Elephas maximus indicus: one gene and its partner. The protein of the gene in region 2 purifies or fractionates together with the protein of the main gene of each other region. This does not show direct contact. Links are inferred from orthologs where the notes say so. Each region holds a gene or a part of one and is shown on either strand. Other genes may lie near its edges.

The links. The genes of interacting proteins can lie anywhere in the genome.
Region 1: the proteins of IFT57 (region 2) and IFT172 purify together in Homo sapiens (affinity purification with mass spectrometry; 3 studies listed by BioGRID and IntAct, counting the BioPlex papers as one, with this or other methods). This does not show direct contact. The link is inferred for Elephas maximus indicus from reciprocal best matches to the Homo sapiens genes IFT57 and IFT172.

The regions. Positions count from the first base shown.
Region 1 is NC_064830.1:45,974,224-45,982,023, forward strand, and holds the start of IFT172 (intraflagellar transport protein 172 homolog), read right to left. Parts: upstream 2,929-7,800; 5' UTR 2,909-2,928; coding exon 2,459-2,908; intron 2,195-2,458; coding exon 2,129-2,194; intron 1,930-2,128; coding exon 1,850-1,929; intron 1,624-1,849; coding exon 1,536-1,623; intron 692-1,535; coding exon 477-691; intron 1-476. UniProt on the Homo sapiens protein: Required for the maintenance and formation of cilia. Plays an indirect role in hedgehog (Hh) signaling, cilia being required for all activity of the hedgehog pathway.
Region 2 is NC_064836.1:80,387,014-80,394,061, forward strand, and holds the start of IFT57 (intraflagellar transport protein 57 homolog), read right to left. Parts: upstream 3,005-7,048; 5' UTR 2,544-3,004; coding exon 2,197-2,543; intron 1-2,196. UniProt on the Homo sapiens protein: Required for the formation of cilia. Plays an indirect role in sonic hedgehog signaling, cilia being required for all activity of the hedgehog pathway.

The sequences.
Region 1 (7,800 bases), on a different chromosome or scaffold from region 2:
TGCTGTATCACTCATTCATTCATTCACCAAAAATGTGCGTATATATTATATACCAGGTACTAATCTCGAGATAAAAAATTGAATGATAGCTCTCTTCTCAAAGACTCTTCAATTTACCCAGACAGACACAACCTTGAAACTGTAACATAATGTGATAAACACTAAGCCAGTGGTCTGTTAAGGAGGGCAACAGGAACACAAAGAAGGTGGTGATAAATTCTACCGTGGAATCCTAGGGAGAGGCACAGAGACAAAACAAGAGCACAGTGCATTTTGGGACTACCAGTGGGCCAATGGGCCAACGGACCACAGGAGCACGAAAAGAAAAGTGAATTAAAATCTCCTGAGAATCTTTTACAGCATACACTTGATTCTGACTCAGTCTCCCACTCTGGTTGACGACCACTGCGCTAAAGCACAGGGCGTATACAAGAAAAGCACGAAGAAGATGCGACTGGTAAGTCGAGTTGTTCCACCTGTCGTAACTCCCCAGCACAACAGACTGGCCACCAGGACTTGCTGCAGCTGTGGTGAACTCCCGCTCCTGAGGGTCACGGCTGTAATCAAAAGTTTGTAGCACATGGCCTTCCTTTCCATAGGCCACAATCCTCCGATCGCAGCCTGCAGCCACGATGCTGTTCGTTGCCCAAGCCAAGGCATAGGGTGGGCATGGGTGGTTAACCAACTTCCCCTAAGACAGAAGTAGAGGGTTTCAATCATTCTGACTCTGAGGACTGTTCCTCGGAAATTCCTCATTCCTGGCACCCCACACACTCACTCTCACCATTCTACCCTGCAGAAATTTTCCTCCCAACGTTTTCCTAATTCCTAATCCTAATTCCTGAAGGCTTCACAAACTGTCTCATACTAATACGTATACGTCACATATACATATGTCATATATAACATTTACTGACCTTCTGCTCTAGAGGAAACGCCAACATACCTGTGTGTTGGAAGATCTTTAATCTGTACCGAGTAAGGCCCCCAAAAGGGAGACTTCCTATACATCAACCAACACTGTCTAGGCCCACAGAGAGCAAATGGCTCCTTTTTTAAAGAGAGCTAAATTTAACTAATTATTACACAAGTAAGTCTCAATGTAAATTATTCAGACGAGAATTATACCGAATGAAACACAAAAGTTCCCTTTTATCTCTTATCCTTTCCCTTTTTTCTCTCGAGAGTAAACTGTTAAATTTTTTCCTATCAATTTCTACACATAAATATATATTTTACATAAATTGGAATCGTTTTCACCTTTCATTCCCCTAACAGTCTTTATTTCCCTTTGTCTCAAGGTCTCTTCCGCTGGAGTCACCTCGTCCCATGAATATTAAGCTCTGGCCTCCTAGACACAAGTCCTCTCTGTGGCTGCATCCAATCAGCCCCATCCCACTGCCCTCCCCAAGATGTCACTCGTCTAGCCTCCCTACCCTCAGCACCTCAGCCTACATTCCTCAGATAGCCCACCTCCTCGAGGCAGGCTCTTGGCATTTCCTCATCCCCTATCCCAGAACATCCTTTACTCATACCTGTGACTCTCCAGAGCCTTCATCATCAAAAAAATACCTAACAATGGTACCATCTGCATGACCAGAAAGAATTCCTTTCCCAGAGCAACTAAAAAAAGCAAGAGGGGAAAAGGAGGAGAGGAGAGAAATACAAGAAAGTGATTATTCTGTCTCACTAGGGAAATCCTCTTTCTCTGCCAAACGCTGCCCTACTGTGGTTTCTGCTACCAATCCTCCCCGCTCCCATCTTTCACACTATGATCTCCCAGTCCAGACTTCCTATAGCTTTTTTCTTGTATTTCCAAGCTCTTGTGATACCACTCTTCCTTACTCACTTTGTTGTCAATGACACCACATAAGAATCTGTCCCATAGATGGTAGACGATTTATTAGTTTTAGTGTTTGCTAAACGAACCTGAAAATGAAAAAATGGACACAAGGCTGGTTAGGCTACTTTCAATATCATTTAGGCCCTGGGAAAAGAAAAACAAAACAAAACAGGTCCCTGTGTACGCTCTCCCAGTACACAACTTGACCCTAAGGGAGATGATTAACTACTTTCCAAAACTATTGCCCTACCCGTTACCTCTCCTGTGTTTCCTTCCCTTTTTTACCTTCCCCTCGGCCAGTCCAAAGACAATGATGTACTCTGCTGGCCACTGCAGACAAGTAACAGCACTCTGTATGAAAGAAATAGTAAAAAGGATAACCCTGTTTGTGTGGACTAGCATATTTCTAACCCCCTGAACTACCTCACCACATGCACCACCCTAGTCTCCTCAACTGGCCTCTGAGGAGGAAAGCAGAATAGGAAGAGCAGCCAGTCACCACCATCCTTGCCATATGAAAAGTCAGACACAGACAGAAAATGCAACACTTGGGTAAGCAGATATATTGACACGTGTTTGTTCACCCTAATCTCCAGGGATTGGTCTGCACTTTACCGTCTGGATGAACTTGTTGCAGATGACTTTCTTGTCACCCCTGCCAGATAAAAGGGAGGAAAGCATGTTAAAAACCACTTCCATAAAGGAATTCCCAAATATGATGCTGGGGTAAGGGAAGAAAGGCGAGATACCTTCCCTGGCCCACAAGTGTTTCCTACCATTCTGTAGGAACCCTGAAAGGACACATAAGAGCTCTAGAACAATAACAAAGACACAACACCACTTTGGGCTCCCCAGGATCTCACAGGGCCTCCTTGTTGATCTTAGACTGATTCCTCCAGGGACGGAACTGCAGAACATGTGGGACAGGCAACGGCAGAGAAGCAACACAGTAGACTGCAGAAAGTCTCGGCCTTCCACGCCCAAGCCTGGCTTCTCATCCTCTCTATTCCTCCTCCCCAGTGAGGCATTTCTCTTGCCTTCCCCTTCTTTTCTTAGCCACCCCATCTCTCAGTCTCTAGCCTCACCAATCTTCTCCAATCTTGTAGACATAGATGATGTTGTCAGTCTGTCCTATGGCAATTTTAGTGGAATCAGGAGAAAAAGCCATGCCCTTCACCATATAGCTCTTCCTGCCATACTAAGAGTCAAAAAAAAAAAAAAAAAGTAATGAGTGTACATTATAGAGAAAGGAGAAGAAATGGTGCATGTGTGACTACAGTGGGGTTGAGGGAAGTATCCTGGAAGAGGAGGGGTGGGCCATTTCCTATGCCCAGGGCTAGGAAGTGGGTTAGGAAGTTTTCCAGGTTTGAGAGGTCCCATCAACAGGTTAAGGTACACAGGAGTACTCTCTTCACCTTCATGTCAGCTGGCTTGGTGGAGAATTTATCTCTCCGCTCCCCATGTTCATCATAGAGCAACACCACTCGGTCCACTGTACAAACAGCAAATTTGGCATTGTTCTGGGACCAGGCCATGCAGGTGACCTTTGCAGCACCATCCTGCAGAGGCAAAGGGAAAAAAAGTAAACCCAGGTACCGGTCTAGAATGCCAGAAATATTCCTAGTTCCATTACTTCTGGTGTGACTTCGCCAATCTTCTTCCTGCCGTGGTCCTTCCATAAAACAGAGAGAAACCTGCAGCCCATCCTGGTCTCCAAGGCCATCAGACACTGGACTGAGAGAAGAGAATGCTTCCAGTGGCCCATAATGCAAATGCACTAAGAGGTGATGGTTCAACTGTACCAAGGCGTCTCTGCAGTGGCCTTCTTGTTTCCTCGACTATTGAAATAAATCAATTGGCCTGATAAGTTTTGATCTTTAGCCATTCAATTAATATTTTTTGAGCACCTTACTGAGAGAGGCACTTGGCTAGGGGCTGAGTGGGATATAAAGAGCAAAACATCATCCCCACCCTTAAAGGGTTTAGGATCTACTAAGATGGTGCGAACAGGAAAAGACCCACAAGAGGTACATATAAAACGCTATAATATTTTGGGTTAAGTCTGAGATAATTTTATATTTAACTGATCAATTACCATTGAAGAATGGATGCAGTTGAGTGGGAGAAATTATCTGAGCATCAGCAAAAGCAAGTTCTAGTCAAGAAGCAGTAATTTAGTTTAGCTGAAACTGTGCTGTAAATAGGAGAATACAGGAGGTAAAACAGGAAAACTAGGGCTTATTTGGCAGGAAAGAAGCAGAGAGTGAAAATTTCTGGAGTGGGGAGTAAAATAACCATAATTGAGGCTTAGGATGGACAATGCCACTTTTTTTAAACTATTCACTTCCCAGGAGCCCAATGAATTATTCACATCATGTCTGTTCTTCCCACCACCAGCCCTAGTCCTCTGTGGTTCTGCCACTAAGGATTTCCCTCCTTTAAAACTTTTTTTATTTTTTTTTTTTTTTACCTTTTGCTCTAATTCTGTGATTAATTGGCTGCACAGCACTGGCTTAACATACTGCTATCTTCCCCTTTATTGCCAACTTCCAGAGTCAGAAGTTTAAGGTTCTTTTCATCAAAATCTTCAAAACAGAGTCAGAAAATAGTCACACCACCACCATTACCATTCTTCAACTCTTGATTACATTAGGTTAGAAGGGCTGAGGGCTCCTCAACAACTTTTGCTGATAGTCCTGCTTCAGCATTTTGCCCAATCCTGGGCATTCAGCCTACGCTGCATCATGACATCATCTTATTTTGAAAGATTAAGGACAATTTCATTTCCAGTTGTTCCATTAGGGTAAAGGAATTTTTTAATTACAGATTCAGGGTGCAGTTTACTGAGAAATGAGCACATCTCTCTTTTGTTCTAATTTCCTTGTAGTCTCTAAATGCCACATCCTCTGTGAAGCTTTCCTGATTTCCATAATCAATTAATTCTCCTTTCTCTGCAGTCTGTACCCCACAGAACTTTCGCGAGGATTAAATGAGGTACGGGATAGAATAATAATAACAACTAACTTTTAACAAGTACTTAGCATGACTGGGTATTTTGCTAAGTGCTTGACATGCATTATCTCATTTAACCTGTATCTCTGGGATAGGTGCTATTATTATCCCCTTTTATAGGTGGAGAAACTGAGGCAAAAAGGTCAAGTAATTTGCCCAAGGTTATTAAACGGCAGAAGCAAGATTTAAATCCATGTATGTCTAATTCCACAGACCACAATTCTAACTTCTTTACTGATGCTGCCCTGGTACATAATAAGCACTCAGTAATGGCAGATAACTTTGGACATGTTATCAAGAGGGACCAGTCCCTGGAGAAAGACATCATGCTTGCTAAAGTAGAGGGTCAGTGAAAAAGAGGAAGGCCCTCAACGAGATTAATTGACACAGTGGAGGCAAGGATGGGCTCAAGCATAACAATGATCGTGAAGATGGCACAGGACCCAGCAGTATTTTGTTCTGTTGTACACAGAGTCACTCTATGAGTCGAAACTGACTGGATGGCACCTAACAACAATGGCAGATATTAATCTTATTAGCTGAGCATTATTTTGTCCATTCAATTTGGATGTCCTTCCTTTTTTGTCTATCAATTTTCACACTGCTTTTTAGTTTGCAAAGTTCTTCAATTAATTCTCCCCCAAATCTCCTACGACTGCTATTATTATTAGTCCCATTTGCCAAATAAAGAAGCTGGGTGAGTGCTCAGAGCAATTATGCAGTAAGAACTAAAGTCAGAGTGATCAAGTTGTTTAAAAAGGCGGTGGAACTGGGACTTGATGTCGGGTTTCCTAACCCTCAAACCCAGCTTCTTACCACCAGGTTTCAGGGTTCCTCCGCTAGTGCCCTGACTTCTCTGAATCCTGAGATCTTCCCCATTGGAACGTACCGTTCAATTTTCTGCACTCCCTCTATATCGCGCTTGTTTAATTTTGTGCAGATTTATGTTCGCTGTTTACATGTGCACCTCTCCCTGTGTATGAGCCTTTTGAAGTTAGGAAGAATAACTTCGGTTTTTTTTTTTTTAACAGGCCCAGCACGGGGGCCTCGTACGCAAGCTCCTACTGAATACTATCGACAGAGCAGAGTTCGAATCATCCTTATACCCTTCATAGTCTTATGCACACAGTAGGAGCTCAACATCCTTAAACTTCACTTCCCCCACTTTTCTAGGATCTTAAAGCGGCGGCATAAGAAAAAGGCGCACAACTCCTCACCTGAGGGCTCAGCAGGGTCCTCAGGTGCTTCAGCTGCATGACGAACACCTGTCTCTCAGATGCCACCAGACAGCGACAACCCCTGCGGTTACCTGGACAACCCGCCACGCAGCCGCAGCTACAGCCGCTGACGGAGACGCGACCAGAGCGTAACACCCGTCGCAAGGTCAACACGTAGGTTCGTCGCGAAAACATAGAACGTGCGCAAGCGCAATGAGGTCTGGGGCCGGCCCGCGAGGGGGCGTGATGAACCCTCTCCTTGACCAATCCCGTCACGGCTTGCAACCTACAAGACCAAGCCACGCCCACAAGGCTTCGCGAACTCTGGCTCCTACGTAATCGTAGTTTTTCCCGTTCTTTGACGGGCACTGCGCGCGGCTGAGTGCGTTCCCTTCTGCTCCTCACAACCCAGAAGGAAAGCAAGGCAGTTTCTATTATATGCCTTTCATAGTTGACGTTATTGAACTCAAATAGGTTATATGACTTGCACGGGATCACAAGGCTAATAAAGATGGTAGTTAACAGTGAATACTAAGTATGTGTCTGCCAGGTACTATGCCAAGTGTTTTATATGCATTACCTCATTTAATCTCAAAACCACGTTTTGAAGGGGATAATACCACTATTCCCATTTTACATAACAGGAACTCGGGATTAGGGGTGTCACTTTTCCAAGCTAACATAGCCAGGAAAGGACTGAACTGGGGATTCAACCCACAGCTGGTGGATTTAAATATCCTTTACATTCCGGCTCAAGTCCTAGCTCCCTATTTCCATGCCATGCCACTATAGCCTGTAACACTCCTATCCCAAGAAATTATGTTATGTCCACAGTCTTCTGGAGAGTGTTCTGGAACCGGTGGCCAGGCAGAAGTAAGTGTCTTACTTCCAAATAGGGAGACAGAGAATTGAAGACTGCTCCTTAGATCAGGATGCCTTTATGGCTCAGGGTGGAGGGCACACCAGAGCTTGGCTCACCTGATAGGTTAAGTCTTGGGATACCTGAAGTTAAAGCTTGGTTAAGTAGAAAAAGATAGCGACTTCTTAATTTTAGGATTGTGTAGCTAGAGTCCTTTCCAGAATTACTGGTCTAATTTCTTGTAACACTAGAGAGACAGAGGCGGAAAAGGAGAATTACTCATAAAACCTCCTCTGGAATGATCCCAAATTGGGAGACCCTTAACCCTCTGGAAAGTGTCCCAAAAGCTGTCCAAACAGAGTCTGGCTCCTGAAACCTTTTCCTCCACAGTGGTTACAAATGTCAACGGGTTATTTCTTTCACTGCCACCAAGCCCCCTTGGAAATTAGGAGAGAGTCGAGGACAGTCTCTATTTTCACAGGAAACAAGTAGGCCCCAGAGGGTCAGAGCCCAAATTAGAATTATTTTCACAGGGGAGTCCAAACCCCTCAGTTTTATTTCCAGAATTCTCTTGTGGACAAAGTGGCAGAGCCTGAATATAAACTCATTTACACTTCACAATTATTATTAGTGACTTTGACCAACTGAACAGAGACAGAGACACAAGTTTACGAAGGCAGGGAAACAGAGGGGCAGGGATCCACAGAGAGAAGCACATGGCACCAAGAGATCCATTTGTACAGCTGCTCTTTCATTAGTTCCCAAGATACTGCTCAGTCCCATTTCTGTCCACGTTTGATGAAGAGGCAGAAGAATGAATGGTGAGGAGTTGGGCTGCCAACATGGGTAGTGAAGATAAAAAGGCTACT
Region 2 (7,048 bases):
AGCGACCCTACAACACAGAAGAGAACTGCCCCATAGGGTTTCCAAGGCTGTAATCTTTATGGAAGCAGACTGCCACATCTTTCTTCCGTGGAGCAGCTGGTGGTTTGAACCTCCAACCTTTCAGTTAGCAAGTGAGTGCTTAACCACTGTGCTACTGGGCTCCTTTGAATCACCTGAGGAGACCATAAAAAATATTGATGCCCATCCAAACATTGCCTCTTCCCTCATCAATGCATCAAATCAGAGCTTTTGGGAGCAGAGCCCCAGTATTTTAAAAGCTCGCTAGATGGTTCTAAGGTACAGAGAGGCTTAAGAAGTTCATTCTCACTCTAACAAACATTTGTTGAAATTTGCTAAATCTCCTAGCCGACTGAAAACAGTCCTACGAAGATCAATATAATTTACACCTAAATATGTGTGGAACAAAACATGTTAGCAACAACATTTGAGTCAGTTTGATCAAAAATCTTAATTTGCTTTTTTTATTTGTAGCTATTACTATTATGTTTATATCATAGTTATCATTGCCACTTTTCATAACAATCAGCAGCCTGCTTCTTCATGTTTCCCCAACTTTTTGTCCTGCGATAGGTGTAAATGCTCTGAATGGTAACATATAGTTGAGAAAAAAAAAAAAGCCGGGCAGCGGGGCGGGGGGGGGGGGGCATGAAGCCCTTCCAGGTATGTGTTTACAACCCTTTCAAAGCACCCACCCACCAACAACTCATCTTTTCCTTACAGGATAATCCCTCGAGGACAGAGAATAGGTACTGATAGGCCTAGGTCAGTGGTTCTCAGACTTAAGTGTACACCAGGACGACCTGGAAGGCTTGTTAAAACAGACCGCTAGGTGCCACCGCCGGAATTTCTGATGCCGTAGACTTGGGAACAGGTCTGAGAAAGTGCGTTTCTAGTAAGTTCCCAAGTGAGACTGATGCTGCTGGTCTGGTGGCCTCACTTTAGAGCCACTGAACTAGGGTATCTCCGCTTGGATCCATGATTCAAAGTATCCTGCTGAACCCCTGAGGAAACCGTACAGAGCTGACAGCAACAGAAATCTTGAGGTCATTTTCCTTTAGCTTCAAAAATATACTTGGAAAAAAAAAAGTTATCATTTTGATTAACAGAAAATATAAGCTGTCTATATTAACCTGATCAATTCATTCTAGTAACTCCCAATCCCACAATTTAAATCATAGATCAAGCAACACTGCTTCTTTTCCCTCTACTTTTCTGCCGTTAAGAGCTGACTTAGCAATATCGACAGTACCCATCCAGCCTACCTAGCATGAACCAAGAAAAGCACTTGCCGTGCAGTCAAGGGGATTAAGCGTCCTAAGAGAGCAGAAGAATGAGATGGAAACTGTCAAGGGAAATTATTTGAGTTTACCTATAGGTATTAAGAGGAAGTGCTAAAGATTCCTAATCTACCTGTTATACAACAAGATAAACACCTGTGAGCTCTAACGTGATGACAAAGCTATAAAACGTTCTTGTCGGGCCACAGCCAGGCTACCCCGATTGGAGGATAAAGTGCTCCCGTCCGTTCCCTTCAGCAGCTAACGGCACTGCCTTCAGGATGTGACGAACTTTGCCCACCAAGAGTAAGGGCTGAACTTTAGGTTCTAGGGTACGGGGACAATTCCAGGGGTTGTCGTTTTCTTTGTCTTTCCCACTTTCGGTTTCTGAGAGTACCACAGCAGTCAGTCAACAAGCTCACTAACTGCAAACAAAGTGCTCAGCAAGGTAGTAGGAGGGGCCGGTTCTCAGAGAGGACAACAAATACTGGACAGAGATCGGAACGGTAACAGCACCCGTCTCTGGGGACGACACTATGGGTGATTTTAGTATTTTTCTACACACAGTTTCTTGTGCTTTTCTAAGTTATCTAGAGTGGATGTTTTTATTCCTTTTAGAACCGTAAAACACAGCCTGCGTTTTTTGGAGGTGCCTGTGTATGTTTTAAACAGGAAGGCTGTCTCCCAGTCCTTCCTGCCGCTCCCAAACCTGTTGCTCCACAAAAATGCCAAGTCGGGGCCCTCGGCCGCCAGCTTCGGGGTGACTGCCCGCGCGCGCTCCGGCCGGAAGGTGGAGGCAGGGCTCGCGGACCCGCTCGGCGCCCGAAGCAGGCCCGACGGGGAAGGCACCTCCCCGGGGCCCGGCCGGCACCCAGGCGCCCGGGGCGAAGGGACCCACCTGGACGGGGGCTTCAGGCTGTCCTTCCGCAGGACTTCCTCCTCATAGCGGAGCAGCTTCAGCTTCTCCAGCAGGTCCTCCATCACCACGAACATGTGGTAGGCCGCGCCGGGCCCGCGCTCCACGGCCACCTCTCCGGCTCCTTCGCCGCAAGGCCGAGATACCCCGTCCTCCAGGCCCGACGGCGTGACCACCGCGGCGGCGGCAGCCATCGCAGGACAGACAGAGAGACTCCGGCGAGGGCTCCGGCCTCCGCCGCCCGCGCAGCGGCCGCCAGGACCGCCGCCTCCCGTTGCTAGGCGACCATCGGGCAACTCGTCACCAGGGAAACTAGACTCCGCCTCCATCCCGGAACCTCCGCGTCACTTCTAAATTCCCTCCAACCGGGGCGGGCCTTCCAGGTGACGTCACCACGGACCCCGCCCCTCCGACGGCAGGGAGGAGGTGGCTCGGAGGCAGCCCCGCCCCTGGAGGCGTGGCGTTCCGTGCCCCACGTCCGGCCGCGCCTCTTCCCGCGGCGGCTTAAAGGCGGGGCGGGGCCGCCCGCGTTCGTCTCAGCCTCCCCGGGGGCGGGGCTTCTTGCCCGGCTGTTTGCTAAGGGCCGCCCGCGTTCCTTTCAGCCTCTCCGGGGGCGGGGCCGCCCGTGTTCCTGAGTCTCAGCCTCTCCGGGGGCGGGGCCGCTTGCCCGACTGGTTGCAAAGGGCCGCCCGCGTTCCTCTCGGCCTCTCAGGGGGCGGGGCCGCCCGCGTTCCTGAGTCTCAGCCTCCCCTGGCGGGGGGGCCCCGGCTTGCCCGGCTGGTTGCTAAGGGCGGCCCGCGTTCCTGAGTCTCAGCCTCCCCGGGGGCGGTGCTTCGTGCCCGGCTGGTTGCTAAGGGCCGCCTGCGTTCCTGAGTCTCAGCCTCCCCGGGGGCGGTGCTTCGTGCCCGGCTGGTTGCTAAGGACCGCCGGCGTTCCTGAGTCTCAGCCTCCCCGGGGGCGGGGCTTCGTGCCCGGCTGGTTGCTAAGGTTGGCCCGCATTCCTGAGTCTCAGCCTCCCCGGGGGCGGGGCTTCGTGCCCGGCTGGTTGCTAAGGACCGCCGGCGTTCCTGAGTCTCAGCCTCCCCGGGGGCGGGGCTTCGTGCCCGGCTGGTTGCTAAGGTTGGCCCGCATTCCTGAGTCTCAGCCTCCCCGGGGGCGGGGCTTCGTGCCCGGCTGGTTGCTAAGGGCCGCCCGCGTTCCTGAGTCTCAGCCTCTCCGGGGGCGGGGCTTCGTGCCCGGCTGGTTGCTAAGGGCCGCCCGCGTTCCTGAGTCTCAGCCTCCCTGGGGGCGGGGCTTCGTGCCCGGCTGGTTGCTAAGGGCCGCGGGGCCGGCGCCTGGGCCTGCTGGTGGGCAAGATGAAAGGGAGACCGAGAGGCTTAGTGTTGATAACTTCGCTATCCCGCTGATTTTTTTTTTTCTTCTCAATATTGAAAGTTTTCAAGGCAGTCGATATTGTAGGTTTCACTTTATCGCAGGAATTTTCAAAGAGAGAGTCTTCTTAAAAAACTTAACCTCTACCTTGTGAGGCAGTGGTTTATTTGATTTAACGGCGTGTTATAATACGTGACGAAAGGCCCATCGCCACCCGAGTGCTCGGAAGGGGCTTGCTGGGGAGGCGGTGGAAGAGGACAGACCGAGACGACGAGCAAAACGGGGACCTCGGGAGCGTTCGTTCTGCTCCCAAAACCACGCTCCGCTCAGCCCGCTGCCCAGTGGTTTAAGCCCATTACATGCAGCATGCAGCTTTGGGGTACCTTGTCAACACCAACAAAATAAAGGAGATTATCTTGCAAGAATCTCCCTGCGCTGTAGTCTTAAAGGGAGCCCTGGTGGCGTAGTGGTTCAGTGCGACGGCTGCTAATGTAAAGGTCGGCGGTTCAAATCTGCCAGGCGCTCTTTGGAAACTCTATGGGGCCGTTCTACCCTGTCCTGTAGGGTCGGAATCCACTCCACTGCAACGGGTTTGGTTTTTTGGTTATAGCGCTAAATGCGGCTAAAGACCAGGTGGTACTTGTTACTTGCTATTGACCTAAAATATACATGCAAGAAAGGGGACTAACTGACCACTATATGGACCGGCTTTCCAGTGCTCGGCAGCCTGTGTATGGAGCAGCTTTCCTAACAGCTGTCCTATAGGGTCGCTATGAGTCAGAATTGACTTGATGGCAATGGGTTTTTAATGGGTCACCGAAAGTATGAGGTAATTGGTAGATGCCCGGAGGTTTCCTGAGGGATGAAAACTTACCAGATTGAACACGAGTTTTGTGTTTAATGTGAGGGATCTCTGATCTCTTGTATCTGCCAGTGAATATATAGAAGAGTCGCACTTTTTGACATAGCTGAAGTTTTAAATGTGCCTGTAATTGTTGTTGGTAGACGAAATGAGCAGAAGAGCACTTTCATTTTAATATCCATCTAGAGCTCACGAATTTGATACTGATAAAAGTATCAAAGTGAAAAATCATAAAGGCAAATACCTTTTCCTAGTTACGAAAGAGAGGAAATACAAAGAGGAAAAGAAAAAAAAAAAAAAACACCATAAAACTGACCTATGTAGAAAGTAACTCAAAAGGGAAGGCCAACTGAGAAATGCTTTTTAAATAACATTGTTTCCATGATGAGTCATTAATCAGCTTTTTTAAAATAAAAATAAGCACGAAAGTTGGGTTTGACTCTATCCCACTGTCAAACTGGTCTTTCTTTTTCTTAGCCCTGTGGAAGGAGTGATTCTTCCCCATACATCCCCACTACCACATGTTTGGGAAGTGTAGTGTGTTGTGGTATGCGTGTATAACTTTCAGAGCACAAAACAGCTGGATATAGCTTTTTAGGATGAAAAAGAAATCAGTAAAAGCTGAGATACATACTTTGGGGTGTTCGGTCAAGCAGCCTGTGGCTTTTAAAATGACTTTGAAAAAGGTGTCAGAAGTCAAACGGTAAATAGGTTACACCTAGGAAAATGGATGTCCACCTGGAGCATGATGCCTGCATAAGATGCTCTGATGTTTTCAGGACTTGTATAGCATGTAGTGTGAAGTAGTCAAGCATTGCTTTTTGGCTGATGAGAACTCTCCAAAAATGATGAATGTACTTTCATGGGGTGGGGAGACTCTCCTAGAACCTAGCTGTTTCCTTCTCAGGTACAATATTGACTTAGCCTGGCTTGAAAGCTGTTTGAAGAATTATTCTTCCCTTTTTAATTTAGTCTTAAAAAGAAAAAAAGCAACAACACTAAAACAAAATGTCCCCAATAACTGTAGTGGAGCCCTGGTGGTGCACTGGTTAAGAGCTTGGCTGTTAAACAAAAGGCCAGCAGTTCAGATCCACCAGCTGCTCCTTGGAAACCCTATAGGGCAGTTCTACTCTGTCCTATAAGGTTGCTATGAGTCTGAATTGATTCGATGGCAATGGGTTTGGTTTGCTTTTTCAGTAACTGTGGGAGCACAGAGAGAATGAAAGAAATAAAAGAAAAGCCAACTTTTGAACACTGTGTTTTCCCACAGCAAAAATGTGGGGAAGAACAGTAAAATGTCATTTTATTTTTATAAGTCTCAGGAGTAATTTTTCCTGATTCCTTAGTTACCCACAATAAATAGTCGATAACACACCAAAAGGTCTTTTCCTTGATGGAAGTAGTATCCTTCACGTATGTGAGCAAACCCACACTCAAATCCTGTCTGAGCCACTTGGAAACTTTTGAGTACCTTTGTGTTAGTTTTTTTTTTTTTTTTTTTTTTACAGGACTGGCTCTGAAATGCATTGACAAAGGAGTGAGGACTTGAAGAGAATGTAATGTCGAAGTATGTTCATGCTGCCTTTAAAGGATCTTAAGAGAGATTTATCCCTGGCTCTACTGTGTTACCACAGTTCATAGCTGGGCTTTTGACTTTGATCTTTTGCAAACTATCTATAAGATGACCAGAGGTGATTTTGAGGCCCTCAGTGTCTTCCAGTGAATGGCCTAATCTCTGAAAATGGAATAACTTCTCATTCAAAGTTGACTGAACAGCATTCCGATGAAAGTTTATTTAAGCTAAATAGATTTCTCTGAAAGTACTTAGCAAGGCTGGAGGCGAAAAGGAGATGGGTTCAAAGACTGAAGAAGGCTTTCAAGCTGCATCTCCAAATATAAGAACAAGTCCTCCAAGAAAAGTGGGCAGGCTTAAAGAACCAAGCTGCTTTGTGTTATAAAGTGGCTTAGTACCACTCATTCATGGCTTTAAAAACTTAGAAAACCACTAACTGAATAATGCTTCTCTAATCTAATAAAAAATGTCTGCTAAAAATCTAGGGGAAAAAAGTCATATTTAAATATGACGCATTAGATGCCATGACTTCTAGAGCTGAGATCAAGGTGAAGACATTCATTCTGAATTCAAAACTGTACTAGAGATCAGAGTCGGTGTACAGAGACAAAAAAAAAATTAAAAAATAGGGGTATTACAAAAGAAAAAAAAACTATTGCAGTTGATATGATTGACTAAGTAAAATATCCAAGAGAATCTGCAGACAGGCTACTAAGACAGCACAGCAAGATTGCTGTATGTGATATCCAAATTAAAGAAAAGTTATTAGAAATAGTAGTTAGGAAAAAAGAAAGAAAACAACTCTCAATAACAAACCATATATAGTACCTAAGAGTAAATCTATCATTATCTTTGTGGAGAAATTACTAAACTTTATTGAAAGTCATGGAAAAATCTAAATAGGGGTATAATGTTCATGGAAAGAAAATCAATATCTTTGCCCAATCTATAAACTCAGTGGAATTTCAACTTGAATTCCTAGTGGGTTCATCCTGAAATCCATATGCAAATTTTAACGAAGCTTGAGG